4 linked regions of the Sus scrofa genome follow. The protein of the gene in region 4 binds, or shares a complex with, the protein of the main gene of each other region. Links are inferred from orthologs where the notes say so. Each region holds a gene or a part of one and is shown on either strand. Other genes may lie near its edges. The genes, in order: USPL1, SENP2, SENP1 and SUMO3.

Region 1 (7,054 bases), on a different chromosome or scaffold from region 4:
TCACAGCTATGAAGTAGCCCAGAGGGGAGGGCTCTGATTTGGACCTTCTATTCTGTTCTATAGCTCTGTCTATCCTTACATCGGTACTACCGCACACTTACATAAATAAGTAGAAACCATACCGATACTAGGTTTTTCCTTAAAAAAAGAAAAAAAGAAATATACATGTAAGAGGCAAAGAAAACACCAAATTGAAGACAGTAGTTACCTTTGTAGGGAGCTAAGGAAGAATTAGGGAAGAGTACAAAAAGGGCTTCAGCTGTTATCGGTAATGTTCTATTTCTTAAACTAGTGGGAGGGAGAGCAGAGAGGAGAGTTTACAAAGTGTTTTTTTAAAAACAATAATCAAGCAGTTCCCATCATGGCTCAGTGGTTAACAAACCGGACTAAGATCCATGAGGATGTGGGTTCAATCCCTGGCCTCAATCAGTGGGTTAAGGATCCGGCATTGCTGTGGCTGTGGTGTAGGTTGGCAGCTACAGCTCCGATTCAACCCCTAGCCTGGGAACCTCCGTATGCCTCAGATTTAGTCCTAAAAAGATAAAAGACAACAAACAAATAAACCCTATAATCAAAATGATAAAGTGGCTGACTGATTGTAAAGATTCAACCAACTCTCTGGGTCAGTATAGATTCTACTTCTCTTTCTTTCCTTTTTTTTTTTTTTTTTTTTAATGTGTGTGTGTATGTGTGTGTCTTTTTGCCTTTTCTAGGGCTGTACCCACGGCATATGGAGGTTCCCAGGCTAGGGGTCCAATCAGAGCTGTAGCTGCCAAGCCTACGCCAGAGTCACAGCAACGCCAGATCTGAGCCACATCTATAACCTACACCACAGCTCACGGCAATGCCGGATCCTTAACCCACTGAGCACGGCCAGGGATCGAACCCAAAATCTCATGGTTCTTAGACGGATTCGTTAACCACTGAGCCACGACGGGAACTCCTACTTCTCTTTTTTGGTATTTTAAAATATACATTAATATTCAGAATGAGGACACATCCACTTTAAGACTTTAAAGTGCTCCCTGAAGCAAAGATTGGACTTCATTAATAAGATCTTGAGCTCTAGCACAGCACCTCTCACTGCTGACTGAGTAGTCCAAACACAAATGAGAGGACTCTACTGCACTCAAGAGCTGCAGGCTTGCCCAACTGCTACAAGTGCTCAAAATTTAAAAATCCCTTCTCTGCTACACAGAAAACCAGGCCCAAGGTGGCAAACGGAGCAAGAGGCAACCTTGTTCCAAATATAAGTAGCAGAGATAAGAAGGGTGGTGATTCGGACTGGGGGAGGAACTGCGGTAGGAAACTTGAATAAAACATCTAGGGTCACTCTAGGAGGGAAATAATACCTGCAAAATGCAACACGGGAGCCCCTCAGTCTACATTCTGGCAAGCCTACAAAAAAGTCTCCTTTGAAATGAGTATCCTCCCAACAGATCAGTGGTTGGGGTAAGGAGAGGGGGTGACTACAAAGGAGCCTGGGGAACATTTTCATGGTGACAGTGCTATTCTTTATCTTGACAGTGGTAATGGTAACACAACTGCACACCTTTGAAAAAGATTTTACTCTATGTAAATCATATTTCGATCACAAGGAAAAAAGGGTATTTACTCCATCTGAGACTGCAACTGATGATAAATCAGAATAATACTTTAGGCCCACAGAAGGCAATGCTGAAGGTCTGGCATATGGAAAATCACTTTATTATTACAAGAACAGAGAAAGCTTATACATTTAGGAGTTCATGAAAAACAAAATAGTAAAACTAGGGGACAGAACTGTGGGACAAAGAAATAGGATACTACCATGCAAAAAAGACAGCGCTTCCAGGTATACTATCTGCGTCTAACGAAATGAACGTCTCTTATTGAGAGACAAACTTGAAGGCACTGATATTTTACATAGTTTAGTGTGGGTATCATACTAAATAGGGGTATCATATATTCTGGTACAATAACACAATATTAATACAAGGAAAAAGAGAAAACAGAAAGACGCCCTCAAAAAAAATCACTGCCAGCTCCTTTGTGCAATTCTAAAAAAATTTATAAAGACCTGGAGACTCTACTACCCTTACTCCACTCTGGTCATAGAGGCCAAAAGCCAATTAATTCACAGACGACAAAGCAGGTCTCATTCTTGTGCCCTTTTTAAAGGTAAGAAAACTTTCCCAAAAGGTCATCAACCTATTTCTCCTCATATTCCATTGGCTAAAACTGTACAATATGTCCACTCTCTAACCAACTTCTGGCAGGGGAAACAGAATTACTATGGCTGGTTTAGGCCAGAGATTCTCAACCCTGTCCACCCATAAGAATCATGCAGGGGCTTCTAAAAGTTACTGATACTTGAACTCCCTCCCTAAGATTCTCGTAGGCCCCTAGCACTTGTATTTCCTAGGTGCTTTTTTATTTTGTTTGTTTATTTATCTATTGTCTTTTTAGGGCTGCACCCGAGACATATGTAGGTTCCCAGGTTAGGGGTTGAATGAGAGCTGTAGCTGCTGGCCTACACCACAGCTCACGGCAACGCCTGATCCTTAACTTACCAAACGACGCCAGGGATCAAACATACAACCTCATGGTTCCTAGTTGGATTAGTTCCCGCTGCGCCATGATGGGAATTCCAACCCTAGGTGCTTTTTTAATGCATAGTCAAGGTTGAAAAAGCTCAAATAAGTCTACTGGGGAAAGTACTGGGAAAGCAAGCAATGGCGTACCCATGAGTAGTTCCCCGGTTCTGAGATCCGCATCCACTCTGTGGGAGTGATGCACATGCCTGTGTACTAGTGCAAGAGTTCCGTCCACAAACGATTTTGTTACAGAGAGATTCCTAAGTGAGACCCCCAGACTCTCTCTTCCAAGGATCTGATCATCCCAAGAAATAAAACACTATTATATTTCATTATGATGTAAATTACTTCTTTATGATAGATGAGTAATACAATTAAATTCCACAAATTACTTACCTAATGTGCATCTCAACTGAGGTTGAAGCCTAATAAAAATTTCATCTCTGACTTCATTCAGACAGGTCTCTATCTTCGGAAATATTTCTGAATGAAGTTTTTTACACTCTCCGCCTAGTAATACAATATAAAACATTATCAGTCTCATCAACATATATCTTTCCACAATTAAGACATTACCAAAAATGAAAGTTTACCAGAGTCAACAAACTTTGCAGAGATAAAATGGAAAACACGAAATTCCTTCATTCTTCTTCCTCCCTCTGCGGTGTACTGCATATTCCCTCAATTATGTGTTAACAGCACAATATCATTAGGACCGACTGCCTGGGTCAACACAACACCATCCCGCCCGAGTAAAACCGCAGCAAAAGCCATTCTCGTCCAAAGAATCACAGGCTTGGCTAGAGAGCTACGCTTTCAGATATCCTGCTTATCTCTGAAAGAGCTGAAGCTGCCTTTTTACATGGAATTATTACTTGGGCTACAGACATTTACTCTTTCACTGCGCTTAATTAGATCATAGGAGCACATAAGTTCATAAGGAGCCTTAATTAAGTTACGATTATTTTCCAAATTAACATTTGGTATGTTCTTCTTTTTTGGCGGTGGGCTGGGGTGAAGGGTCTTCAACGACATCACCATCCTCATACAACTCCACATTCTGCTTTTTTCATACAAATTTGCTTCCACTAAAACTGTGCAGGCTAGTTATACTCCAGCTAAACCATAGTTTTAGTAACCACTCGTTACTGCTGGACACTTAAGTTGCTTCTTTTTTCGCTATTATAAATACTATCATGATAAACATCTTTGGGCACATTTTTTTTTTTTTATCATTTAAGGTAAAACACCTCAAAATGGCATTACTGTGACCGAAAACTACCCAAGATTAATAAGAAAATTATTTTGAATAAAAGCCTCCGTACGCAACTGACTCATAAGCCACACAGAGTGAAAAGACCTATTTTACACTTTTTACTGCCTGATCACACTCTGCTCATATGTTTCACCAGGAAAACATCTGGAGTCCTCTGTAATATGAAGTAAGCATTAACCAGAATTTTTTTTTTTATTTAACCATACTGAAAGAAAGGGAAAACTTCAATTCAAAGTAATGTAGCTCAAACAAATGTAATTACAACTATATTACAAAAACAATTACTCTGGAAAAAAGTAATATTTAGACAAAAAATTAAAATTAATTCAATATTTAAGTCAAAACTTGAGGTATGTTCTCCCACAACAAACAACTATCACCTACATAGTACTGGGGTTTCTGTAACTATACAAAACAGGAATAAAGAGAAAAGGCAAAAGCAAAAATGCTTCTGAGAAACTGTCTTTTAGAAATTGCAAAGAAAAAGAATTCAATCTCAAAGAAACTCAAACTGAAGCGAAATATTTTTTATCTAACAAAATGATACCTTTTTAAATGTTTCTACCCAAAGATGATTAGAGTGTTCCTGAATGTTTACTTCTACATATGAAAATGGGATTATTATGTTGGTATAATCCTTCTGGAAAGCCATTCAGAAAGATTCTTTACATTCATATTTTAGCATTCCTTCTAGGGTATAATCAGAAATGGAGGAGTTCCCGTCGTGGCGCAGTGGTTAACGAATCCGACTAGGAACCATGAGGTTGCGGGTTCGGTCCCTGCCCTTGCTCAGTGGGTTAACGATCCGGCGTTGCCGTGAGCTGTGGTGTAGGTTGCAGACGCGGCTCGGATCCCGCGTTGCTGTGGCTCTGGCGTAGGCCGGTGGCTACAGCTCCGATTCGACCCCTAGCCTGGGAACCTCCATATGCCGCGGGAGCGGCCGAAGAAATAGCAACAACAACAACAAAAAGACAAAAAAAAAAAAAAAAAAAAAAGAAATGGAGTCAAAGATACATGGATATTTGCCATAGTATTTATATACAATAGCAAAAAAATGGTAATTAGTCTGAATAGTTAACAATGGGGAAACTGTACAGTATTGATAAATACTACACGACTAAAGTCAAACTGCATACAGGTAAGGATTATTTCCCTACCAGATACCAAGACCCAAAAAAGCCGTAAAAATTAAAATTGTGTGGTATTGGTAAAGGGACAGATAAAGTGACCAAAAAAACAAAATTGAGAGTGAAGGAAGTTGCATTCATATGCAGAATGTTATATGACAAAGGTGCCATGGCAGACCAACTGAGGAATAGGTGGAGCTAGAAAAACTGATTGTGCAATGGGGAAAAAAACAAACCTTTACCACACACCACAAACAAAAATTACCTCCAGCTGAATTAAGAATTTCTTTTTCTTTCTTTTTTTTTTTTTTTTGTCTTTTCTAGGGCTGCACCCATAGCATGTGGAGGTTCCCAGCCTAGGAGTCTGAATTAAGAATTTCAATGTAAAAAGCAAAACTCTATGACTTATCAGTGAAAATACAGGTGAAGGATTTTCTGATTTTGGAGAAACATTTCTTTTTAAAGCCACAAACATACCAGCAACAAAAGGAAAGATTACGATTTCTACACATCAAAGATACTTTTTAAAAAAGTAAAAATATAAGATAGAAATTGGGAGATTTAGCAATTTATCTGACAAATACAACAACAAACACTAAAAACTCATGGAAATCCCTAAGAATGTGACAAAAGAACAAACAGGGATAAGACACAGGCACTTCACAGAAGGAACAGAGGCTCAATCTACATATGAAGAGCTGTTAAACCTCTTTAAAAGCTGGGCAAGGCAAATCAAGACCAGGGACCATTTAATATCATTCAAACCACAAAATTTCCAAGTGTGAAAATAACTAAGGGAAGAAATAAGGATTAGGAAGATCTCTTCTGCATTGCTAATGGAATACTGACTGGCACAACCACTTTGGAAAACAAGTAACCATCATCAGTAAATGTGAACTCAGGGTCTATCCTATGATAAATCCACGGGAAACTCCCTCTGCTCCAGGAGACTTGCCCAAGAACAGTCACTGCAGCAGTATTTATAATGGCAAAAAAAACCCAATGTCAGATCAATGAATAAATACACTGATGCATTTATGAACTGGAAATATTATATAGCAATGAAAAACAATGAACTACAAATATCAAAAGAAAAAAAAGATCCCCAGAAAAAATATGGTACAGTATCTTTTTTATAAAGTTCAAAACAAATTAAATTAGGCAATACACTGTTTAGCCATACCTACGCAGTGAAAACTATTAACAAAAGAATTGATAAAACACATTTCAGGATAATGACTACCTTTGAAGGAAGGTGGAAGATGGGATGGGAGGAATATACAGGTAGATTTAAGTCAACGGAAATATTTTAATTTATCTGGGCTGGAGGTGGATTCATTGGTATCCTATTTCTTAGAAAATGAAACAAAAATACACCTCTCATTGTGAAAATACACTTCGAGGGAGTTGTTCGAGGGATTATGGGTGATAGGTATTTACTTCTTTATTCTGCCTTATGGCAATTCAAAAACTTACAATTTTATTTGGATGTACTCTATGCTGACTATCACCACCCTGACAGCAAACATACAGCCACAGCGTCTTTATTCCTTCCTCTTAATTTTTGAAAAAGACTGCCTTTTGAGCAGTCAAGATAATGTAACTTGATGGTGTTAGCTCTTTGCTCCCAGGTCTCTACATAAAACAGAGGCTACTGATGGCATCTTTTCCATGTGCTGAGACAAAACTCAATGCTAACCTCTTTTTCTTTTTTTTTTTTTTTTTTTTTGTCTTTTTGCCTTTTCTTGGGCGGCTCCCGCGGCATATGGAAGTTCCCAGGCTAGGGGTCGAATTGGAGCTGTAGCCACCGGCCTACGCCAGAGCCACAGCAACTCGGGATCCAAGCCACATCTGCAACCCACACCACAGCTCACGGCAACGCCGGATCCTCAACCCACTGAGCAAGGGCAGGGATCGAACCTGCAACCTCATGGTTCCTAGTCGGATTCATTAACCACTGAGCCACGACGGGAACTCCAATGCTAACCTCTTTTTAAAGAGAAATAAAATGTTATTGCTAACCTTTAACTCCATCTGACTGACTGGTGAGAAGAAGCTCATTGGCTTGATTATAC
Region 2 (7,835 bases), about 84 Mb from region 4:
TTTTATTCATTATTTCCTGAATTGCAAAACTTTTTACTGTCCCCTCTGCCTACTGTCCTTCCTATTGCTCTGTCAATACCCTATCCATCCTTGGACTCACCTCACATATTAGCTCCTTCATCAAATATTTACTGAGACTCTTAGAGCTGAAAATCGGACAGTATTATGTTATTACTTTTCTTATTTCATTTATCATGTAATCATTGACATTAGTATAATTTATGTACTGTCTTAAACCCCCCACTAAATAATCATATACTCCTGCAGTTGTAATGTCCTTAAAAATAAAGAACCTGTTGTATTCATTTCTGTATTTCCTGTAGAACCTAACACATTGTTTAACAGTAAGATAGGCTCAATAAGCACTCCTGAATTTACATTAAATCTTAACACAGACATATCCACTCTTTACTACATCTGGAGATAGATTCAAATTCACATTCATTTTTGAGAAGAAGGAAAACACTATTATAGTATTTAATAGTGCCTTTTCCCTTTAATCTAGTTTTATTCTCTTCTACCAGTGATGTCTAGACCTTCAGATACAGAGAAGTAAACAATCTGAGGTAACTCATTATACTGGATCACTTAGCTATCTGAACTAGATGACTCCAGTTTGAAATAGTTTTTACAATGTTTTCTCTTCAAATAAAAAGCACCTTTTGGGAGTTCTGATGGCCTAGTGGGTTAAGCCTCCTGTGTTTTCACCGCTGACGCTCTGGTCACTACTGTGTGGCACAGGTTCGATCCCTGACCCAGGAACATCCACGTGCTGCCGGTGTGGCAAAAAAATTTTTAAATGCTTAAAAAGAGAGAGAGAGAACCTGAAATAAATATTCCAACTCTCATTTTAAAAGTAAAAAATTAAGAAATAGGAGTTCCTGTCGTGGTGCAGCGGGAACGAATCCCCGACTAGGAACCATGAAGTTTCGGGTTCGATCCCTGGCCTTGCTCAGTAGGTTAAGGATCTGGTGTTGCCATGAGCTGTGGTGTAGGTCGCAGTCGCGGCTCGGATCTGGTGTTGCTGTGGCTCCGGCGTAAGCCAGCAGCAACAGCTCTGATTAGATTCCTAGCCTGGGAACCTTCATATGCCACAGGTGTGGCCCTAAAAAGACAAAAAGACAAAAATAATAATAATAATAAATTTTAAAAATAAATAAAAAGCACCTTTTCTTTATAGGAAGATTAGGAATTTTGAAATGCAATTTCAACATACAGACTTATTTATCTAGAAAGATATTTAAGTCTCTGGTAACACTGTTTACCTCTAAAAAAGATAACAATGGAAAAGGGACAGGAAAAAGACTTACTTTTCACTGTATATACTTTTTATCTTTTGAATTTTGTCCATACATATATTTTTCCTATTGAAAAAGCTATTTTTTTAATTAATATTTAATACCTAATCTTGGTCTTTTGGCTGGTACTTCATCAGTGTCCACTGTAGAAAAGAGACTGCTGAAAAAAGAGAAGAGAGACATAATATATATGCATATATGTTCATATACACACATTTCCATTTCTATAAGTAAGCTTACTATTCAAACACACCCTCTTCCATTCACTCTGTCATAAAATGAGATCTAACTGATGTTTATGCTATAGTAGGTCTTCAGCTTTTGAGGATGTGGAGATCTAAAATTCCCTATTATATAATCATGTGTAGTCTGGCTAGACTACAAACATGAAACTGGCCAGAAATCTTTACTAGTAAACGAATATAGGTAAAAGCTTAGGACCAGTTATTCCCTTTCTCTCCAAAAATGATTTAAGAATAATTTCCTTCTGAAAGATGACAGCTTCCCCAGAAGAAAATCATTTTTTACTTCAGATAGAAGTAGACAATTTAAGAATTGTCTACTTAAAAGACAGTTCTGGTGTTCCCATCGTGGCTCAGTGATTAACGAATTCAACTGGGAACCATGAGGTTGTGGGTTCAATCCCTGGCCTTGCTCAGGGGGTTAAGGATTCAGCGTTGCTGTGAGCTGTGGTGTAGGCCGGCAGCTACAGCTCCGATTAGACCCCTAGCCTGGGAACCTCCATATGCTGTGAGTGCAGCCCTAGAAAAGACAAAAAAAAAAGACAGTTCTTAGCCAGAAAAGGGTGTTATATTTAACTGTGTTTTTATCATGGAAACTATATTACAGTGATAAAGAATTTGGAAATTCAGAAAAGTTTTGGACCTATATCTCAAAAATTTGTAAATTCAGAAAAGTTTTTGGACCTATATCTCAAGGTTAAAGCTTCACAGTTAACCATCTTTCTTTTCATTTCTTTTTTTTTTTTTTTTTTTTTTGGCTTTTTAGGGCTGCACTTACGGCATACAGAACTTCCCAGACTAGGGGTCCAATTGGAGCTATAGCTGCCGGCCTACGCCACAGTTCATGGCAATGCCAGATCCTTAACCCACTGAGCGAAGCCAGGGATCGAACCTGCAACCTCATGGTTCCTAGTCGGATTCATTTCCACTGAGCCATGACAGCAACTCCTATAATCATCTTTCTAAAGATGATTAGGAATGATCCTATTTACAAAAGAAAAAACAGAATAAATCTCAGGAGAATACCATTTGGTTCATAACTTTCAACATCCCACGAAGACTTTTTGGCTTCATTTGGACTGAAAAATGGCTTACAATGAAGAGTTTATATCAATTAAGGATGTATAATAAAGAACAGGATTTTGATCTACAAGCCAGTTTCCCTGACCAGCAGAGATTTGCATTAAAAATAAAGGACGAGGGAGAGGGAATTAACATTCCCTTATTCAATAAATATATACAAGTGCCTGTCATGCTCCGGCCTCTGCACAAGGCCCTTGGAGTAGAATAAACAAACACTACCCTTATATGCATTAAGCATCATTTTAGGCACAACTTGTATTCAAATGATCCTTGTATTAACTCCACAGAAAATTATAAAAAACACAATGAAATCTTGCCCTCTCTAGAACATAGGATGGAATTTAGCCCAAAGCCAATTTCATCATGAGCAGCATTCTTAGATTCATGTATTAATTAATCATCTTTGTCTCAAGCTCCAAGAAACCAACCTTCAATCTTGAGGCTTAATAAAAAATTAAATTAATACCTGACCACTAAAAGTTGGGTGTGGGTATGTACAGACTTAGTATGGTATTTTATTCTCTCGATTAATTCTTAGGGAAGGGGGTGGACACAATGAAATGGGACAAACCAACAGGTAAATGCAAAGAACAACTTTTAGTTTCTCCAAAATTTTAACAGAATTTTAGAGTACAGACTAGTGATCTTTTTAAAGTAATCAGATATCTATTTTTTTTTCTCATACACTAATTCTAAAGCACAGAATCACTCTCCCTCCTCCCGACAACACACACACACACACAGTTTGACAGCTGTTTTAGAACAAGACAGCTGCTGTCTCTTGTTGCTAAGAGAACAGTACGTGTGGTCAAAAGGACTTTGGGCAAGCTATGATTCTCACCTCCCTTAACTGCGCTTATTGCGCACAGATGACACCTGGGGGTGTGCTTTGCAAACAGTGAGCCACAACAAAGACAGTTTTCCTTCAATTTTCAGTATTCAACCTAAGAGCAGCAAAATATGACAAAGCTCTATTTGTTAACAGCAACCAGCTTGGGCTCTGATGAGAAAGATCCTAACCATCAACTACTGGCTCCTTCCATCATCAGGAGCCGCATCCACACAGCGGGGAGGAGCGACTACGTCACCAGGACGCCCGCGATCCGCACCTCGACCACCTCCGCCCAGCTACCTGTTTCTGCCAAGCGGGGCCTGCCTGGTTGGGTCAGCGCTAGGCTAGCCGAGCCCCGGGTGGGGGAGGGGGAGTGCCAGGCCGGCGTTCGGCCCCCTCTCCTCTCACCTGTTCGAGCGCCGCCTCTTCAGGAGAGCCCGGGAAGAGGGCACCGGCCGGTCACAAAAACGGAAAATGGTGCCGAGAATCCTAACCAGCCATTTGTACATACCAGGCCCAAGCAGCAGCGGCGGCCGACACACCCCGAGACGCAAACCCCAGAGCTGTCGCCGCCGCTGCCGCCTTCTCCGCCTCGGCCACCACCGCCAAGGCTCAGTCGCCGAGTTGTGACGCGGTCCTAGGGCCCACAGATACAACGTCCCTTGAGCTACAGGAGGCCCCCGCTAGCCACCGCTCCTGACGTCACCTCCTCCCGCCCGACCGGAAAGCATCCTCATTCTCAGTTTGCGCACGCGCAACCTAGGTCCCCACCTCCTGAGCCTAGCAACCAGAATGCCTGCGGGAAGGTTCCAGTCCAATCGCTGACGAGATCGCAAGGGATGTGGGCGGGGTATTCTCTTCGGCGGAGCCAATCCTGAGACTGCCCGAGGGACAAGCCCACCGGCCGCACAAGAGCGTTCTCTACCCTGGAGTGAGCGCTCCAGGGGCCTGCAATACTGCAGGTGATCATTAAATGTTTGTTGAATGCACAAAATAAAGGTTAGTCAGGCTAATTAACAAACGTTCACCCTGCTAGGATCCCTTTACTTTGCACATACTTTATGCCTGGTATTTTTACACGCAGTCAACTTCATTTCTCTCAGCAACCTCAGGAGATGCAGAACCTTGTGCCCACTTTTAATCAGTAAGGAAATCGAGGGATAGAGCGATTAAGTAATTGCCTACGGTCACAAAACTAGCTAGTACCACGGATGGAATTTGAACCAGGGTCTGTGTACCAACACCAGTCTCTTGCCCTTGAGATCAGTCTACTGGGAGATATGATTACAAATTACACCTCAAGACAATTGGTTGTAAGTAAACTGCACTTAAGTTAAATTTTTAAAAAGATGATTGGGAGGTCCCTTGTGGTACAGAGGGTTAAGAATCAGGTGTCATCATTGCAATTTCTAGAGTCCCTGCAGTGGCACAGGTTGGATCCCTTGCTAGAGAACTTCCCTAAGTCCTGGGCGTGGCCAAAAAACGAAAAAGAAAAAAAAAGGCTGTTGTGATAAAGGTGGGTACAGAGTGCAGTAGGAGCCAAAGAAAGGAAAACTGGATGGGAAAAGGACGGGAAGGGCAGAACTCAAAAAAGTCTTCACAGACACTTAAGAATGGAAGGCTCCCTGTGGCCTACTAGTAGTACCTACTAATACCCCCTGAGCTGCCAAGAAGTCCTGCTAACTACTCTCCCTCTCTTGTCTAGAGGTTCCCAGTAACGATCAACAATAGAAAAATAACCACCCTTCTTATTACTGGAAAATCCAGTCCCCTACCTAACACTCCTGGGAATATGCAAAGGTTTTCTTGCCCACGAATCCATCCCTGGAAATACTTGATCTTTAATCTGTGATTCAGTTAAGGTTGGACTTCCAGACTTGCTTGAACTTCAACAGAGACACTCCCTAGTACAGTCTCATCCTTGTTCAATAAATATTTTTCTGCAGCAAGCCACCTCCTAGAGCCACAGAACCACCAGCTACCCACCTGTGGCTACCCACCACTCTGGCCTGGGCTGGGGATAGGAGCAGTTCCTGGAGGGTAGAAGCAAATCCTAAATGTGGGCATGGGCTCCTCCCTCAATTCCCTAAAATATAGCTAATACCAGGCCATTACAGATAGTCTGGGAATAACAGGAGAATTACAAAGCTGAGAAAGTTTAGAAGTGGCTATTACAAATACAGCATCTAGGGAGTTCCCATCATGGCTCAGCAGAAACAAATGTGACTAGTATCCATGAGGACACAAGTTCAATCTCTGGCCCCGCTCAGTGGGTTAAGGATCCGGCGTTGCCACGAACTGTGGTGTAGGTCACAGACGCAGTTCGGATCTGGTGTTGCTGTGGCTGTGGCCTAGGCCGGCAGCTACAGCCCCGACTGGACCCCTTGCCTAAGAACCTCCACAAGCCGTGAGTACAGCCTTAAAGAGACAAAAAAAGAAGAAGAAGAAGAAGATGATGAAGAAGGCTACCAGCAGGGCAGTTCAGCTGTGTCCCAAAAGTCCCTTCTACTATAAAAGCTGGTCTTTGCTTTTGTCAAACCAAGAACACTTAAGTATCAGGAAGGAATTCTCCAAAACAAAGGAGTGGCCTTCATTCGAAACATAAACCAGAACACTCCGAGGTTGCTTTAGAATAGCACTTTCTCCCAGGTCCTGGCCACTAAGATTTAAGAAACATTGGCATCATGTTACAGAGAAGTCTAGTACAACATCACAACGTATTTTTTTTTCTGCCTCATTGGAGCAAGTACCCAATACTGGAATGTCGGTCACCCGCCAAGAAAAGTCGGAGGGCTTTGGAATTACAGACCTCAGTCCATATCTCTGGACCTCATCAACAAACAATAACTATGCCAGCCCTTCCATGAGCACAACCCCCCACCCCCACCACTTTGTGTCCTCTTAGTGTCTCTAGTCACCCTCTGAAGTGGAGAAAGAAAGGGGATTCAGCCTTACAGTCGCTTCCGCTTGGGTCTTGTCTGCCAGTTGGTGCCTTCGATGTCCTGTCGTCCACAGTAGAGGTAAGGACCACTGTCCATCCACTGACCAAGGAGTGGGATTATCCTTACTCCCAAATCCACCCCTTCTGCAGCCATTCCCAGACCCAGGAACTCTTCACCGGAGGCCCAGAGGAGAACTCCAAAATCACAGGGAGTTACAAGGATGTTGAGGTTTCTGCTCTTGGTTTGAATAACTTGCACCCGTGCACCGGCAGAGGAGCACAACCTCATGGCTTAAGTTTTTGTAGGGTATTTCACCCGATTGCCCTAGTTTTCCAAAAAGATCCCCTTCCTCCGGTGGAGATCCTCTCCTTCAGGCCTTATCAGCGCCCCTCCCCCATCTTTCTCAAAACCTACCTCCTCTCCACAGAACAATGAAAACCCAGCCCTCCAATCCGTTCTTTAGTCTTGCAGATTTTCCCTTTGCCTGCATTCTTGGAGTGCTGAAAGATTTCCTCTCAGCTTTGTTTTTGCTGACCCCTGTTGGAAGGGAGATCTGGGCCTTTTGATGGGAGGGGGTAGGGGCCCATAGAGGAGATGTTGGCTTGGGCCTAATGTACCTAAAATCTAACAAGGCTCACCACTTTGAAGATTAATTCCCTTCCAGGCACCAACTCCTCTGGTACTCAAGAAAAACATGTCCTTTTGGTCTTCTGGTCTTTTTTTTTTTTTTTTTTTTTTTGTCTTTTGTCTTTTTATGGCCGCACCCTCAGCACACGGAGGTTCCCAGACTAGGGGTCGAATCAGAGCTACAGCTGCCAGCCTTCGCCCCAGCCACAGCAATGCAGGATCTGAACCAAGTCTTCAACCTACACCACAGCTCTTGGCAATGCCTGATCCTTAACCCACTGAGTAAGGCCAGGGATGGAACCTGCAACCTAATGGTTCCTAGTCGGATTTGTTTCTGCTGCGCCACAAGGGGAACTCGTGGTCTTATTCAATCTGTCTGATAATAACTTTGGCTTTGTTATGCCAAAAGCAGGTAGAGCTGTCTTGTCCTAGATTTCATTACATTTGTTCACATCAACTGCAAATGGCTTGGCCTGCCTAATGTGGAGAAATAACAGCACCAGGCCTTCCCTAAGTCTATTTCTGAATCTGTAAAACAGAGTTCATCAAACCTGCCTCTCAGATCTGTGGGCACAATAAACAAGTTTATGTATGTGAAGGGCTTACTTCAAGGCCCAGCATAGCTAAGTGTTCAGTGTTTCTCTTCCCTCCACTTCCTTCTCATATCTAAAAAGTCATTTAACTTGCCACTTCTGCATCCTACATTTACCACAAATCTGTCCCTTCCCCTTTCTAAGGCTGCTCACCTTGAGCTCTAACCCTCCCCCTTCACTGAGGGAACTAAGCTGCACGGAAGGGTGATCCAAGTTTT
Region 3 (7,054 bases), on a different chromosome or scaffold from region 4:
CAGCTTCTCAGTCAGGCTTGTGTATGTCCTATTAATCATACAGGAGAATACCTTAGACTTCCCACGATACCCAGTGTGTAAAAACAGGTCCCTCCCACAGGGGCCAAACAATCTGCAAACATTACCCACAGAAATGAAAAACTTGGCAAAATAGCTGGACATTTAGAAAACCTAGTTCTTCATAAGAAACACATTACTAGGTTTCCCACAGAAGTTTACTCTAACTTTCCCACAGAACCACACGACCAAACAGAAGGTCCCTGGGGACTAAACAGTGAAATCCTTTTCTTTCCCATACCCTAATCTCAGAATTTCCATCTCATCAAGGTGAAATGTACCTGGCTTTTCTTGCTGAAGAGCTGCCAGCCATTGGTGTCAAACTCTTTCCTTTTCTTGTCAATGCTTTCTTGCTTTAGGTATTGCCTACAGGTATTGGGAGAGAATGAGGTGAGCTTGGGGAACACTGATGACACCTGCTGCTCAAAGAATGGGGCTGACAATCCTTAGGAAGTTTCCATCTGCACTTCTACGGAACACAGTATATGTTGCTGGGCAAGGAATCTCTGGACTGCTAAGCTTCCTTTGGAAGTCCCACAATTCACGCCCGCTCTGAGAAACATAACCAGTGCCTCTGATACCCAGGCTCCTCTATCTACTGTCCTTTCTGAAGAACAAGTTTTCATTCTTTTCCCTTGGTTTACATGGTCCTTCGGAACTCAATCTAATAAAAAAGAAATGCTTCCCTGGGAATATCGAGGTCTTTATTTATATTTATAGTCTTGATTCTCTGGTGTGAAAATTCAATCCAAAACAATGTGTTGAGTGCACACCCCATACAGAGCACTCTTCTTAAGCGCAAACTGCTCACTCTTCTGGAACTTACTTCCGCCTGGCCACCAGAGTGGTACAGTGAGAAACAGACATTTCGGAAAGAGAAATAGACATGTGTAAAGAGATTTGCATTTTGGTTCCCAGTTGAGCTGCTAACTGGTGGGACCTGAGCAAATCAGAATCACCTGTGGTTTCTTCATCTGAAAAATTAGGTTGGAGAATATGATTCCTAAGTAGTTTCTTTCTCTCTCTCTCTCTCTGTACCCACTCTCTATTTCAGCACACCAAGACAGTAATTATCCCCATTAGGGCATACTTTTGGTATTATTATACTATTATTAAACTTTACTTTCTTTGATGGAAACTATCCATTCTTACTCAATATAAAAATTTCCTTTATTTATTACTCCATTGAATGGATCAGAAAACAGAATTCAACAACTAAAAAAACACAACACATACCCAACACCAAATTCTTCTGTCCTCAACTCCTTACTTACAAGAGGATCCTGCAGGCTTCATTATTTATCCCACCCATAGAGTCGTAATAGGTAATATTCTTCTTTCTAAAGTCCACAACCTAGGAATAAAAAAATCTGTGTGTTTATGAAGTGAAGAAAATTGACTTCTCAGCTTTTCCCTTCCCTGGAACTTGGAAACTTCCACCAATTTCCTATGAAATCATGACAAGTTTGATGGATACTTTGCATTATACCTTGCTTAATCTGCAGAGGAAAGAAGAATGGGGGGGTGTTATTTACTTAGAACTATGGTGGGGGCTCACTGATAAGTGGCCCTATTCATTGCCCTAAAACCTTTTTCTAGTATTCAGGTTCTCCATCTGCAATGTGGGCAGCACTGAAGACATAATGTGCTCTTCAGAGAAAGAAGTTGAGTGGGATCATTTCCACACATTTTCAGAAAGATGGTAAAAGATTCTAGGTTTTGTTTTCTTCCTTTCTTCTTCCTCTCTCTCTTCCTTCCTTCCTTCCTTTTTTGGGGAGCTGCACTTGTGGCATACAGAAGTTCCAAGGCAAGGAGGCGAATCAGAGCTGCAGCTGCCGGCCTACACCACAACCACAGCAATGTGGGATCCATGCCATATCTGCAACCTACACCACAGCTCAGGGCAACGCCAGATCCTTAACCCACTGAGCAAGGCCAGGGATTGAACCCATAACCTCATGGCTACTAGTTGGGTTCATAATGCACTGAGCCACAATGGTAACTCCTAGCTTTTGTTTCTTTTACCTGGAGAATTTCCTTTTGGCTTTATGCTTTTCAAATGTAATTCTGCAAAATAACTTTTATACGTTTATTAATATTTAAGCTAATGTATCCATGTTTTCTGAGTCATAAAAATATTAAATTACCAAGTATGCAAGGCAAGTCATGATTAGGCAGAAAATAATAATCATAGAATCTGAGTTGGCAGCATCATTAAGAAGTCACTTTTTCTCTCTATGCCTTGCCTTAAGCCTGCTTTGACTCATAACTCCCTTTTTAAATATTTCCAGAAAAGGAAATTCCACAGCTTTCTTCAAAACCTAAGTACCCCCCACTCTTGGCAAGAAGCTCATTGACCTATCCAATTTTTTTTTTTTTTTTTTTTTTGCTTTTTTAAGGCCACACCTGAGGCATATGGAGGTTCCCAGGCTAGGGGTTGAATCAGAGCTGCAGCTGCCGGCCTACACCACAGCCACAGCAACTTGGGATCTGAGTCTCATCTGTGACCTACACCACAGCGCACGGCAACACCGGATCCTTACTGAGGCCAGGGACGGAACTGGCATCCTCATGGATACTAGTCGGGGTCATTACCACTGAGCCACAACAGGAACTCCCTGATCTATCCAATTTTTAGACAACTAAATGCTACTCCTTCCTCAATCATCCAGTGAAAGTGTAGAACTAATATTCACTACTTTCTGTGTATTCTAGAAGTACATAGATTTCTTTTAACAAAAATAAAACAGGTACTCACAGCAAGACACCAGTGCACTCCCAGGTGAATGGGCACCAAAAGAATATCAACAGAAAAGACATCCACTTTCTTTGTCCAACGTTTCACTGCTTGATAACCAGCCGTTTTTAACTTAGTGAAAAAAAAGGTATTAAATGCATGTACACTTGGCATTCCTTTCTCTTTACTTCGCTCCATTAGCATATTCATGTAGAAATTGATGATCTGTGGGAAGAAGGTATATATATTAAAATAGATACTCAAGGGAGTTCCCGTCGTGGCGCAGTGGTTAACGAATCCGACTAGGAACCATGAGGTCGCGGGTTCGGTCCCTGCCCTTGCTCAGTGGGTTGACGATCCGGCGTTGCCGTGAGCTGTGGTGTAGGTTGCAGACACGGCTCGGATCCCGCGTTGCTGTGGCTCTGGCGTAGGCTGGTGGCTACAGCTCCGATTCAACCCCTAGCCTGGGAACCTCCATATGCCTCGAAGCGGCCCAAGAGATAGCAACAACAACAACAAAAGACAAAAAGACAAAAAAGACAAAAATAGATACTCAAGCCTTCGAAAACAGTTATGTTGTAAGAAGGAAACACCATTCCTACACTGCATAGCATAGGAACAAGAGTTGAGGGGGTTATAAAGAGTGAAAACAGGGAAAGTTGACGTATATACACACACACATATATATATTTATATATTTACATATATGCATGGCTCAGGATATATATGGGCAGATGTTGGCCAGATCGGTAGAATACTGAAGATTAGGGTAAAAAAAAACAACTAGAGAATGAGGAGGAAGGGGCGCTATAGCGCCCCTTTAGGTGAGACTCAAGAGAAAAGGAAAGGAAAGAGTACAAGAAGTTCCTTTAATCTGCTGGGTCTGTGTGAGCCATTTAAATAAATCTTGAGGTCCAAATCTACTGTTAATAAAGCTAAGATCAGCAGTTAATCCTTCTATGAAGGCCTCCTGATTTTGCACAAAGATAGAAAACTGCTCAATGACTAAAGACTGCATTTTCAGCCTAATACGCCACTGAGCAAAAGCAAACTGTTTTGGTCTCAAGTAGAACTTGAGTGTGACAGGATAAACCATCAACTTACTGGAAAAACATCTCTAAAGTGACAGCAGCTTAGCAATGTTGTTTGTATAGAGGCAGACATGGATATAGTATAACCTATATTACATGAGACTTGAAAGTAAAATCACAAACATGAAGAGTAACATTCTCCCCCAGAATCTGTATGGTTAGCTTTCCCATTTTTGTTGACTCATTTACGCCTTCAATATGAGGCAAGTACAAGTGAAATAAATTAAAATGCTTAATGTCATGTTAGCAGAGATATGTTAAAACATGCTAATGAAATAATGTGTTCTTTAATAGTGACTATGTTGTCCATGGTTCCTTTAGGTCCAAGGCTCCTCGGTACTAAAGCTTGGAAGTTACTGTGCCGGAAGTTACTGCATACTTACTTTATGTGGCCAACTGAGGTCAGGCACTAGTGTCTGTCAACTACAAGGAATGAATGGGCTAACTGATCCACGGCTTGGAAATATGACTAAGAAAACAGGCACATTTTTCAGAATGCTTTTTGGGGAATGGGAAAACGCCCCCGTCCTTTGACAAATATTTACACACTAGGATGCCAGAGCAGTGAGCTACTGCCCAACAGTAGGCAACTACATACTGGGTAGGCAGCAGGGAATACTGCCAGGAACACACCGGAGCATGGTCTAGACTAGAGAAAGGGCCTATAGATGAGGATGCCTAGGCAGCTGCAAGGAAACCACATTCACCATGAGGCCGGGCTCTGAGGGTGGTGGTGGGGAAAGCTAGGACTGAAGAAAGACACTGTTCTGCCTGCATCTCTAAAGACTGAGCTATAGGCCCAGAAAACCCAGGTTGTGGTTAATTCTCTGCCTGGTGTGATAGCCAATAAGTAACTGGAGCTGAGTTATTTAAATGATAATGAATCAAGACAATCAGGATCACAGATTTCTCAAATCGAGGTTTTCAATCTAACTCTGCCCCAAAGGCAATGGTGCTAAAGGATGTTTCTAGGCTTGTGAAGACAGCCAGGATTACAGGAAGATCTGCCCAACAAGCACAGATTCCTGGCTATAATCTGAATTCCCGAGTGAAAGAAAATCAGCAAGAAGGGACTGACTCCTCTGGTATTCTACCCCACAATATTAGCCATGTTATGAGGCTAAACCCTCCAATCCAAGGGGTGAAGAGAACAGGCAGACAATCTGTCAGTCACTGTAAGCCAAACCCTCCATGGGGCAGATAAGTTATATATTACAACAGACAATAAGGATTTGAGGTGGAGGTGGAAGGAATCACAGAGATGTAAGGACAGCTAAGCACATCAGAGCCATGGAGATCTATCTCCCCAGGTGCCGGGGTATATCGCCTTTGGGATCATTAACCTACAGTGAAAACGATGACATAAATGAGTGTCACACCACACATGGCTATCACATTTTTCAGGAGGAAAGCGTTCCAGAAAACAATTAAGTCTAGCTTGAGCTGTTTCTTATTTTATTATTTTGAGAGTGGACTATAACGCTGAAGACCAAACCAGCTGAACAGGAACCTAGGGATCAGGACCTTTTTCCATTGCTTTAGCTCTGCCTCCAACCAAGGTTTCTCCACTGAGAGGGAAATGGCTTCCTCCAAAGTCAGCTCATTAAACTAGCTCTAGGGAGGATCTGGGTTCCTTTTCATTTACACTGTATCCCATTAGGAGGGAGTTTGGTGGCTTCAATGTTCCCTCCTATTAGCCAAGGAGGTGTAATCTGACATCTGAGGCAGATTTTAGATCCAAGTTTCTCTCCTCAGTTTTTTAGCTATTACTCTGTCCAAATGAGGAAAACTGCCATAGGTCTGCCAAGATACAATCATACCAAAAAAACAAGCTAGGAATTAGGAGAACAAAAAGATTCCTACACATCTTCTCACAGAGGAGGGCTGAAGATGAAGAAAACCAAAATGAGAGAAGAGATCACAGTGTTTAAGATGAAAGAGAAGCAGTGACAGCATTTGCTTGTACTGTATGAAGACAAGGGTCTCTCCCCTTGCGTGGTGAGAGCCTTTCTGCACACAGGGCTCTCTTAGCTCCAGAAGATCTTGAATTCCCTTTGGAATAGGGGGCTAAGAGTAGTAAATCAGCCCTGTGCCTACTGGTCTTGCACTTGTCACTCTTTTGGGGGCCCACACTTGCCTCTCTTTGCTGTGGCTTCTAAAGAGCTGCCCTTCCGGCTGCCTTCACAGCCTTGGCCATGAGCGCCTGCTTGTCTATGCAGTCCTGTTTGGGAGTGGAATGGTTGTTTACAGTGTCTTGTTTCTTTGTGATTTTATTTGAAGAGCTGCCAGGCTGAAGCTGAAAAAAGCTTCTCTTTAAAAGAAAAGCCTACAATGTTTTCAAACTAAGGATTCAATCCTTTTCCTGTATGTTACCACAATGACATAAATGACTACTGCTATTTGTATCTTCCTTCTCATGTAGTAAACCAGCCAAACTACTGTTTTCTCATGCATTTAAAATAAGTAAAAATTTCACTAACAGTCAAGTCCTGACTTTTAATCCTTCCCAATTTCACACTCTGACACTTAAAATTAGCTTAGGAAAAAAATGTACTACAAGTCTTGGGCATGACAGTGCTTCTTAGCAGAAACCAAGATTACTTTTGGGGGGAGTCCCCCTTGTGGCTCAGTGGGAATGAACCCAAGTAGGATTCATGAGGATGCAGGTTTGATTCCCTAGACTCGCTTCAGTGGGTTAAGGATCCAGCGTTGCTGTGGGGCTTGGTGAAGGTCGCAGACACAGTTCGGATATGACATTGCTGGGGCCATGGTGGCATGGGTCAGTAGGTGCAGCTTGGATTCAACTCCTAGCCTGAGAAATTCCATATGCCCTGGGTGTAGCCCTAAAAAGACAAAAAAAAAAAAAAAAAAAAGAAAGAAAGAAAGAAAGAAAGAAAAGAAAAGATTACGTTTTTGGGGAAAAAGCTGTTCTTCCTATTTTACCCTTCTAGATTTTCCTGCCTCTTCATTCTGATTTTTTAAATTAGAACGTCAACCACACTGTCAACCTTGTCAACCACAAAACCCAAAAGACTTACCAAGCAACAGCACCTGAATATTATGATTCAGAAGGTCACTAAGATCTAACCTAAGAACATCATAGAAACCAAGAGGGCAGACTTCACACAATCTCTCTGTTACTGCATCTCTCACTGTGCCCAGGATTTTT
Region 4 (7,815 bases):
TATCATGGCTCAGCGGTAACGAACCCGACCTGTATTGAGGAGGACACGGGTTTGACCCCTGGCCTCGCTCAGCGGGTTAAGGATCTGGCGTTGCCGTGAGCCGTGGTGTAGGCCAGATCTGGCATTGCCATGGCTGTGGTGTAGGCTGGTGGCTACCGCTCCAATTCAACCCCGACCCTGGGAACTACCACATGCTGTGGGCACGGCCCTGAAAAAAAAGGGAAGAAATTTGCAAATAGTCAGTGTGAAGGTTTATAAAGCAATTCACTTTTCAGACACGCAGCACTTACACACTCTCTGAACAAGATACAGGAAGATACGCTCCATCAAAACAGGGAGGAAAGATCAATCCAGAAAACACACAGGAGAGGACTAAGGATGCTTCCAGAACCTTCCAAAGTGGGGCAGGAAGGGAGGGGCCCCGGGAGGGACGACGGGACAGCAAAGACCCAGGGCGTGGGGGTGAGGCAGCAGGGCGGGCAGTACGGGGCACGGGGCACACACACAACTGCCACCAGGCCAGGAGAAACAGGCTCGGGCAGGAGCCAGAAATCAGCACAGGTCGCCGTGTGGCCCTGGGAGCAGCGCAGCTCCGCCCCAGTCACGACAGAATCAGGAGATTCCAGAGCAAAGGACTGGCGTCGAGGCCAGAATCTGTGCACAGGGGCTGCGGGTGGGCGCGGATGGCGTGGCAGGGCTCAGCCCACCTGTCCCAGGAGAACTCCACCTCCAAATCAAGAGGACGAGGAGGAGAGGCACGGACACGCGCACCCCGAAAACGCAGGAAAAAAGCTGGGCAGTGATGGCCTCTGAAGAGCAAGGTCTGAAAAGCGAGGCGAGAAAGACGAAGGCGTGGAGTTTCAGGTGCTTTTCATAACAGCGACAAGCACAAGCCCAGGCAAAGAGCATCCAAGGCAAGAACAGGAACTGAGGTCCGCTATTTCCAAAGCATCCGGAGAAACGCCACCGCCAGAAAGGACCGGCTCCCGTGGGGGCCCAAGGACACAGTCCCGCTCACACGAGAGGGACACGGAAGCGGTCCATCTCACGGGTCCCTGTGGGGGGCATGAGAGCCTCTGCTCCCGACCTCGAAGAGCAATAAAGAAAGGGCAAGAATCAAGCACTGTCTGGAAACCAAGCCAGGCCGGGTCTCCACAGACGCCGAGGAGGAGAAGGGGGACGCGAACCCCCCGCTATGATCCCAGCAGCACCAGGAAGACTTGCCAGGCAACCCGACCAGGGGCAACGGGTGCCCTACCTGCTAAAGATGGAGCGACCGCCAGCCTGCAGGAGACGGGACAGAAGAGGGAGGGCCTCCGGGGAGGGGGGGCGTGCACACACACAAGCACAAGCACACAGGCAGGCACGCACACACAAAGGGGCACACGCACATACACAGGCACACACAAGCACACACGCAGGCACACATGCACACAGGCACGCAGGCACGCACACACACAGGTGCACACGCGCACACACAAGTGCACACGCGTGCACACGCAGGCACGCGCAGGCGCTCCAGCACCACCGCACCTGGCGCTCGCAGTAGGCCTTCATCAGCTTGCTGAGCGGCGTGTGTCTCTTGATCTTGAACTGGACCACGGAGCCGTCCTGCCCGGCCACCTTCAGGTTGATGTGGTCATTCTCCGTCTTCACCCCCTCCTGCAACGACACGCGGATCTGGCCTCCGCCCGCCTCCCCACTGCCCGCCGCTCAAAGGCCAGCGTTCGGCGGCGGCTGGTCTCCCCGACATCATTGGAACCAACCCAATTCCCCCCTCGCTCCAGCAATCCCACCTCTGCCCAGAAGCCTTGATTTCCGCACAGAACTTCTAACACGTCCCACGTCTAATGTCTTCAGACTCGATTCGAGGGAGAACACCCGCCTAACGGACCCCGGAACCCACAGAGGGCAAGTCCATCTTTGCCCTGAGATCACTTAAAAAAAATCATTCATTGACTTATTTTGCCTTTTTAGGGTCGCACCCATGGCATTTGGAGGTTCCCAGGCGAGGGGTCAAATCGGAGTTGTAGCTGCCGGCCTCCACCACAGCCACAGCAACGCCAGATCCTTAAACCACTGAGCAAGGCCGGGCATCGAACCCACGTCCTCATGGATACGAGTCGGGTTCATACCACTGAGCCACAATGGGAACTCCCATTGTGTTTTTTGATGTACAAAATTTTTACAATTTTCACGAAGTCTAGTTTGTCTGTTTTTCTTCATGCTGCCTGTGCCACTGGTGTCACATCCAAGAAGCCACTGCCAGGTCCCATGTCATGGAGCTTTCCTCTGTTTTCTCCCGAGAGTTGTACTGTTTTAGGTCCTTGGTCCACCTTGAGTTAATTTTTGCATATAGTGACAAGAAAAATCCAACTTCAGTCTTTTTTTTTTTTACGGCCACATGTGCAACATATGGAGGTTCCCGGGCTAGGGGTCCAATCGGAGGTGTAGCTGCCGGCCTAACAGGACAGCCATGGCAAGGCAGGATCCAAGCTGCGTCTGTGGCCTACACCACAGCTCACAGCAATGCTACATCCTTAATCCACCGAGCGAGGCCAGGGATCGAACCCGAAACCTATGGGTACTAGCAGGGTTCCTTAGCACTGAACCACAAGGGGAATGCCTCCAACTTTATTCTCTTTGCATGTGGACATAGGATGCATTGCTTTTTTAATGAGAAGGTACTGGTGTGTTCAATGAGACGCAGGGGCCAGAGCACAAAGCAGACAGAGACAGGGCAGGGGCTGAAGGCCAGGCAGAGGAAGGCACCGAGACCACATGGCCTGTGCCCGGCCCTGGTGAATTCCCAATAAGCCAGTGAACTACTGCAAAGAAAGGGGGTGGACAAGACCCACAGTTCCGACCAGCAGGCCTCTGCCTGTGCTCTCCAGGGAGGCAGAACTGGCCTCCCAACGGATCCCAAGGTTTTCTTTTCACCAAGATGGGCTGGAGCGGGCCTCCTACCACCCCCAGGCCCAGAGGAGAGCTCGGCAGGCAGCGAGGCTGTGGTGGGCAGGGGTGGGGCACGAGGCCTTGTCTGGAAAGCAGTGAAAACAAGTTTATTCAACTGAATTGGGCTGTGGGCTGGACCACGTGGGAGAGCTAAGTTTAAACACACCGAAGGAATGAGATCTATGTGTATTTCATCGCATTTAAACTGCAGAAAGAGGCCCCCAGAAAGCATGAAGAAGGGGCGCTTGTGTTCAGCCTCCAATAAACAAAGGATCCAGGGCGCGAGCGCTAGCAAAGGCTGAGTGAGAAATGTAACTGGCCGCAAGGAAAAAGCAAAGGCAGGAGTTCCTGCTGTGGCGCAAAGGGACTGACGGGTCTCTGCAGGGGCAGGGAGGGACATGAGTTCGATACCAGGCACAGTGGGTAAAGGTTCAATGTTACCATAGCCGTAGCATAGGACACAGCTCTGCTGGGATTCAACCCATGGCACAGGAACTGCATGTGCCATGGGGCAGCCAAAATAAAAGAAAAAGAAGTAATAAAATAGAATAAAAAACAAAGCTCCAACTGCACCCGGAGAGAGGAAGCTCCTGAGGGCACCTCTTCTCACAGGCCCCACAGTGGGCTCCCGACCTGGGGCTCAACCAGGGGGTCTCTGACCAGGGGTTTGGTGACCAGGGGTTCCGTGCCCTGGACCCCAACCCCAGCTCTGCCTCCTGGGCTCCAGCCTCAGCTGCAGGGGGGGAACCTCCAGCGGGGCTGGCAGCAGAGAAAGCCTGCACGCCATCGTTCAACTCGCAGCAGATCTGCTACTTGGAAAACACTGACCCCAAGGGTCCAGAAGCCCGTCTTTAATAGGAGGGGGAGGGCTAAGGGCCAGCGCAGCAGACTCAAGGGCGCAGACCTGACAGCCTGGGGGAAGGGCGGCAGGGGGCACACAGTAAACGACGGGGGAGGTGGGCGCACGCCCAGGGGGGCGACCGTGCCTCCAGACAGGTCAGGCCTCTCAGAGCCCCTGTCCCCAGCCTGCGCCCCCTCGGGCTCTCCGCAGTGAGAGCTGAGGAGGAGGCCCTCCGAGGGGCAGTAGGGCCCAGGCAGGCCAGGACCTTCGGTCCTGGCATGAGGGGCGCAGCGGGGGGAGAGTCCGAAGAGGAAAGAGGTTCTGGGGAGGGGCGGTCCCAAAGGGGGACGAGGGGAGACCCAGGCGGGTCCCAGCCAGGAGGGTCAGGTCCAGGAGGGTCCAGGATGGTCCAGGATAGGGGTGCCACTCGCCGAGACAACGGGGCGGGGCTCTTCGGGGGCGGGGCGGGGCCGTGGGGGTGGAGCTCGTGTCTTGGGGGGGGAGGCCTGGGAGGGGCGGGGCTCGGGACGGGGCGGGCCCCGTGGGGAGGGGCCTGGGCGGAGGGAGGGGCCTGGGCGGAGGGAGGGGCCTGGGCGGAGGGAGGGGGCGCGCGGCGGGGCGCGCGGCCGGGCGGGGGAGGGGAGCCGAGCGGAGCCCGGCGGCGCGGGGGAGGGGGCCGGGGAAGCCGGGTGGCGCCGCGGACCCCGGGCCCCAGAGGCCGGCGGCGGGTCGGAGGGCGGTGCAGCACGGGGCGCAGGCGGGGGTGGGGACGGCGGCGACGGCGGCGTGGGCTGGAGGCAGAGCACGGGCCCGCGCCCTACGGCCCTTACCTTGGGCTTCTCCTCGGACATGGCTGCGCGCGGCGGGCGGCGGGGCAGCAGCAGCGCCGGGCGGGCGACTCACGCTCTCGGCCCGCCGCTCTCCCGCCGCAACTGCTCTCGGGGCCGCGCTTTGCCCCCAAATCCCTGCGCGCCGGTTGGCCGGCGCGGGTCACGTGGTGGGCGCGCGTGCACGAGGCGCGACCCCGGGGCGTCGGACGCGCGCCTGGCCTGCCGGCCGAGGTTCCTGGCGGTTGGAAATGCGTCACCGGGCGGGGCCCCGCGAAATCCGGCGTCGGGGTTGGGGGTTCCCAAGGCAGCGGGGGCTCGGGTCCGCCCGAGGGGTGGGGGGCGCGCTGGGACCCGGGAGGCGTGCAGGGCAGCTAGGGTGGGGACGGTGGGACCCAGGGGGCACACGGGGCAGCGATGGGGGCAAACTGGAACCCCGAGGTGCTCAGAGAACCGGGCCAGGAGGCCTTGCGCTTTATCATGGAGCCTGAGAACGGCCCCTGCTCTGGTCCCCATAACTGGTCCCCCTACTGCAGCAGCACCAGTCAAGCCTAAGTGCACCCACTGCTTTTCTTTTCTGGTTACGGTGTTTCTCAGAGGAAAAAAAGGAAAATAAAGCCAGCCAGGCGAGCCACTCCAGGGGACGTGAGTGAGAACAGTGTCTTGGGAGGCGCCCCCACTACTGGGGAAGGTGCAGCTTGCCTTCGCCCGGAGCCAAGTGTCGGACCTCGAAGTGGAGTGAAGGAAGGGGTGGAGGCTGACCCACCCGGCCACTCCGTCCACCAAGGAGTCAGGGCATGACTTCCTTTAGCAAACCCACTCAGGCTCCAAGGTCCGGCCACCTCCACTCTGCGATCCCAGGGGACGGAGGCATAAATGGCATTTCTGGGAGGGAGACGGGGAGGCAGAAGCCTCTCTCTGTGATGGGCTAGGCTGCTTGTTCTTCTCCCCCTGTCCAGCCCCCTTCTGAGCTTGGCCAGTGGAAGCCGAGCACCTGGGGCAGGTGGGGACCGCTTTGCTACCCTACCTGGAAGCTGTGCACCTGACCTTTACATCAGCCCATTTTACAGGTGAGGAAACTGAGTTACCTGACGTCCTAGCGTGGGTGAGCAATGCCGCTGGGATGTGAGCACAGGCAGTGGTCCGTGTGTCTGACCAGTGTGCTCTGCTGCCTCGGGACAAACCCAGGGCTCAACCCCAGCAGGACAGGCTGAAACGGGCACTCAGGCAACCTCGGGAAATGTGGTGAAGAATGGGCCCTGGTCAGGAAGCCCTCCAGGATTCTGAGGCCCTGGCTCTTCCTGCCCTCCCCGTCTCCACCCCATGCCTCAGAGGAAAGGGACCAGCAGTGGCCGACGTGGACTGACCCCTCGGGTGTGCCGGCTGTGGTCCCAAGCACGCATCAAGGCTCACAACACTCTGCAGCAGGGACCTTAGCCCCCTGTTCTTCCGGTCAGGGAATGAAGGTTGCACAGGGTCACGCACTAGGAGGTGGCAGGGTCTGGATTTGAACCCAGGTCACTAGATGGCTTCCATCTGAAGGCCCTGCTGACGGGGTTCTGCTTGCTTCCTGACGCTGTCGAAAGGCCACAGGGCCAGGTATTGATGGGCCTTAATTTCACAAACCACTTTGGACCCTTCAAAACACACTTCCTTGGGTGTTCCCATTGAAACAAACCCAACTAGCATCCATGAGGATGAGGGTTCAATCCCTGACCCCACTCAGTGGGTTAAGGAGCCGGTGTTGCTGTGAGCTATGGTGTAGGTCGCAGACATGGCTTGGATCTGGTGTTGCTGTGGCCGCGGGGTAGGCCGGCCGCTATAGCTCTGATTCAACCCCTAACCTGGGAACTTCCATCTGCTGCCGGTGGGGCCCTCAAAAATGAAAAAAAAAAAAAAAATCACATCCTTGGCTAGAGGCCCCGTTTAGGAGAAGGGAAGGCGCTTCCAAGAAACGGAGCTGCCACGTAGCAGGCTGACGAAGTCTCTCCATCGAAAGGTCCGAGCAGAGCCAACCTCCATCTCAGCCAGGACTGAGGGTCCTGGAGTCCGGACGGTGTCGCCTCTACCAGGGGGCCCTCGGGTACAACGACTGGCTCAAGCTCTGCTTCCTGGAGAGGGGGGTCTCCGGGAACTGGCCCCTTCCAGAACAGAGATGGACAGTGGGGCCCAGAACTGCCCCCGGCTGACGGGCTGTGGGGTAGCTTCGCGTAGGCGGCGTTTGGACCCATCGTTCGTCGTCGGCTCTGAGACACCATCAGCTGTAAAGCATGAAATTGGTTTATTTAGCACAGACGCGTTAAACCAAGACAGGTTTTGGACGGAAGACGTCCTGGTTTCAGACTTGCTGAAGGGTGAAAAACCTATGGCTTAGAATTGATGAAATGCAGTATCTAAAGGTGTTCCAGTAAGGATTCGAACTGTGGTTCATTCGTAGGACGAAAGCCTGCGTCCCCAGTAAAAGAAATGTGTAAAAAAAGAGTCCTTGGTGACAGGAAGAGATGCGCATATGTTGAGTCATTTTTTTTTTTCTTTTTATGGCCCCACCCGCGACACATGGAAGTACCCAGCTCAGGGGTTGAATCAGAGCTGCATCTGGGGCCCATGCCACAGCCACAGCCACACCAGATCCGAGCCGCCTCTGCGACCTATGCCGGATCCTGAACCCACTGAGCAAGGCCGGGGATGGAACCCACACACTCACAGAGGCTATACCAGTTCCTTAACCCGCTATGCCATAACGGGAACTCCTGCTGATACATTTTTTAAAAGTGAATTATAAAACTATTGCAGTTTTGAAGTTCCCTGGTGGCTCTCAGGTTAAGGATCCAGTGTTGTCACTGCTGTGGCTTGGGTCTCTGCTGTGGCGTGGGCTCCCTGGCCCGAGAACCTTTGTATGCCGTGAGCGCAGCCAAAAAAAAAAAAAGCCTATGGTTTTGAACGATCAGAAAATCTGTATGAAGTATGTTGAAGCTCTGCTTGAAGACACCAAATGGCTACCAAAACAGAAGAGACTCTCTCTGAGGGCAGAGATCCCAGAAGGAAGGGAAGTGGTTTTTCTTTCAGGGGTTTAGTGACTAGTATGGTGTGTCATCAGCTCAGTGGCTGTAACAAAATACCACAGCCCGGGCAGCTTGAGCAAATATTTATTCCCTCACAGTAGTGGAGGCTAGAAGGCCAAGATCAAGGCGG

What was found.
Region 1: the proteins of SUMO3 (region 4) and USPL1 are in contact, whole or in part, in a crystal structure (PDB 7ZJU), measured with the Homo sapiens proteins. The link is inferred for Sus scrofa from reciprocal best matches to the Homo sapiens genes SUMO3 and USPL1. Residues at the interface, in NP_008867.2 of Homo sapiens: Gln24, Asp25, Gly26, Ser27, Val28, Arg58, Arg60, Gly63, Gln64, Pro65, Ile66, Asn67, Asp70, Leu75, Phe86, Gln87, Gln89, Thr90, Gly91; in NP_005791.3 of Homo sapiens: Ala234, Cys236, Trp237, Pro321, Gln322, Leu323, Arg324, Met330, Glu331, Ser332, Val334, Phe335, Leu339, Tyr368, Thr378, Thr380, His393, Phe394, Gly395, Pro396, Asn398, Arg407, His421, Val423, Tyr451, Asn454, Asn455, His456, Phe457, His493.
Region 2: the proteins of SUMO3 (region 4) and SENP2 are in contact, whole or in part, in a crystal structure (PDB 2IO1), measured with the Homo sapiens proteins. The link is inferred for Sus scrofa from reciprocal best matches to the Homo sapiens genes SUMO3 and SENP2. Residues at the interface, in NP_008867.2 of Homo sapiens: Arg55, Arg58, Arg60, Phe61, Asp62, Gly63, Pro65, Asn67, Asp70, Leu75, Asp81, Asp84, Phe86, Gln87, Gln88, Gln89, Thr90, Gly91, Gly92, Val93, Pro94, Glu95; in NP_067640.2 of Homo sapiens: Gln385, Asp386, Phe393, Lys394, Leu395, Arg396, Trp410, Leu411, Asn412, Asp413, Glu414, Ser439, Thr440, Phe441, Pro444, Lys445, Arg456, Trp457, Lys459, His474, Lys476, Val477, His478, Trp479, Met497, Gln499, Gln542, Asn544, Gly545, Ser546.
Region 3: the proteins of SUMO3 (region 4) and SENP1 are in contact, whole or in part, in a crystal structure (PDB 6NNQ), measured with the Homo sapiens proteins. The link is inferred for Sus scrofa from reciprocal best matches to the Homo sapiens genes SUMO3 and SENP1. Residues at the interface, in NP_008867.2 of Homo sapiens: Gln24, Ser53, Arg55, Gln56, Arg58, Arg60, Asp62, Gly63, Pro65, Asn67, Thr69, Asp70, Gln74, Glu76, Asp84, Phe86, Gln87, Gln88, Gln89, Thr90, Gly91, Gly92; in NP_001254523.1 of Homo sapiens: Gln440, Asp441, Glu446, Arg449, Leu450, Thr451, Lys455, Trp465, Leu466, Asn467, Asp468, Glu469, Asn494, Thr495, Phe496, Lys500, Arg511, Trp512, Lys514, Lys515, His529, Gly531, Val532, His533, Trp534, Gln597, Gly600, Ser601, Asp602, Cys603.

The regions. Positions count from the first base shown.
Region 1 is NC_010453.5:7,332,720-7,339,773, reverse strand, and holds part of USPL1 (SUMO-specific isopeptidase USPL1), read right to left. Parts: coding exon 7,002-7,054; intron 3,087-7,001; coding exon 2,973-3,086; intron 1-2,972. UniProt on the Homo sapiens protein: SUMO-specific isopeptidase involved in protein desumoylation. Specifically binds SUMO proteins with a higher affinity for SUMO2 and SUMO3 which it cleaves more efficiently. Also able to process full-length SUMO proteins to their mature forms.
Region 2 is NC_010455.5:123,426,270-123,434,104, reverse strand, and holds the start of SENP2 (sentrin-specific protease 2), read right to left. Parts: upstream 4,191-7,835; 5' UTR 3,965-4,190; coding exon 3,864-3,964; intron 3,568-3,863; exon of another isoform or gene 3,465-3,567; intron 1,459-3,464; coding exon 1,403-1,458; exon of another isoform or gene 1,311-1,402; intron 1-1,310. UniProt on the Homo sapiens protein: Protease that catalyzes two essential functions in the SUMO pathway.
Region 3 is NC_010447.5:78,426,157-78,433,210, forward strand, and holds part of SENP1 (sentrin-specific protease 1), read right to left. Parts: intron 3,020-7,054; coding exon 2,816-3,019; intron 1,412-2,815; coding exon 1,332-1,411; exon of another isoform or gene 424-1,331; coding exon 339-423; intron 1-338. UniProt on the Homo sapiens protein: Protease that catalyzes two essential functions in the SUMO pathway.
Region 4 is NC_010455.5:207,479,493-207,487,307, forward strand, and holds the start of SUMO3 (small ubiquitin-related modifier 3), read right to left. Parts: upstream 4,871-7,815; 5' UTR 4,648-4,870; coding exon 4,627-4,647; intron 1,663-4,626; coding exon 1,534-1,662; intron 1-1,533. UniProt on the Homo sapiens protein: Ubiquitin-like protein which can be covalently attached to target lysines either as a monomer or as a lysine-linked polymer. Does not seem to be involved in protein degradation and may function as an antagonist of ubiquitin in the degradation process.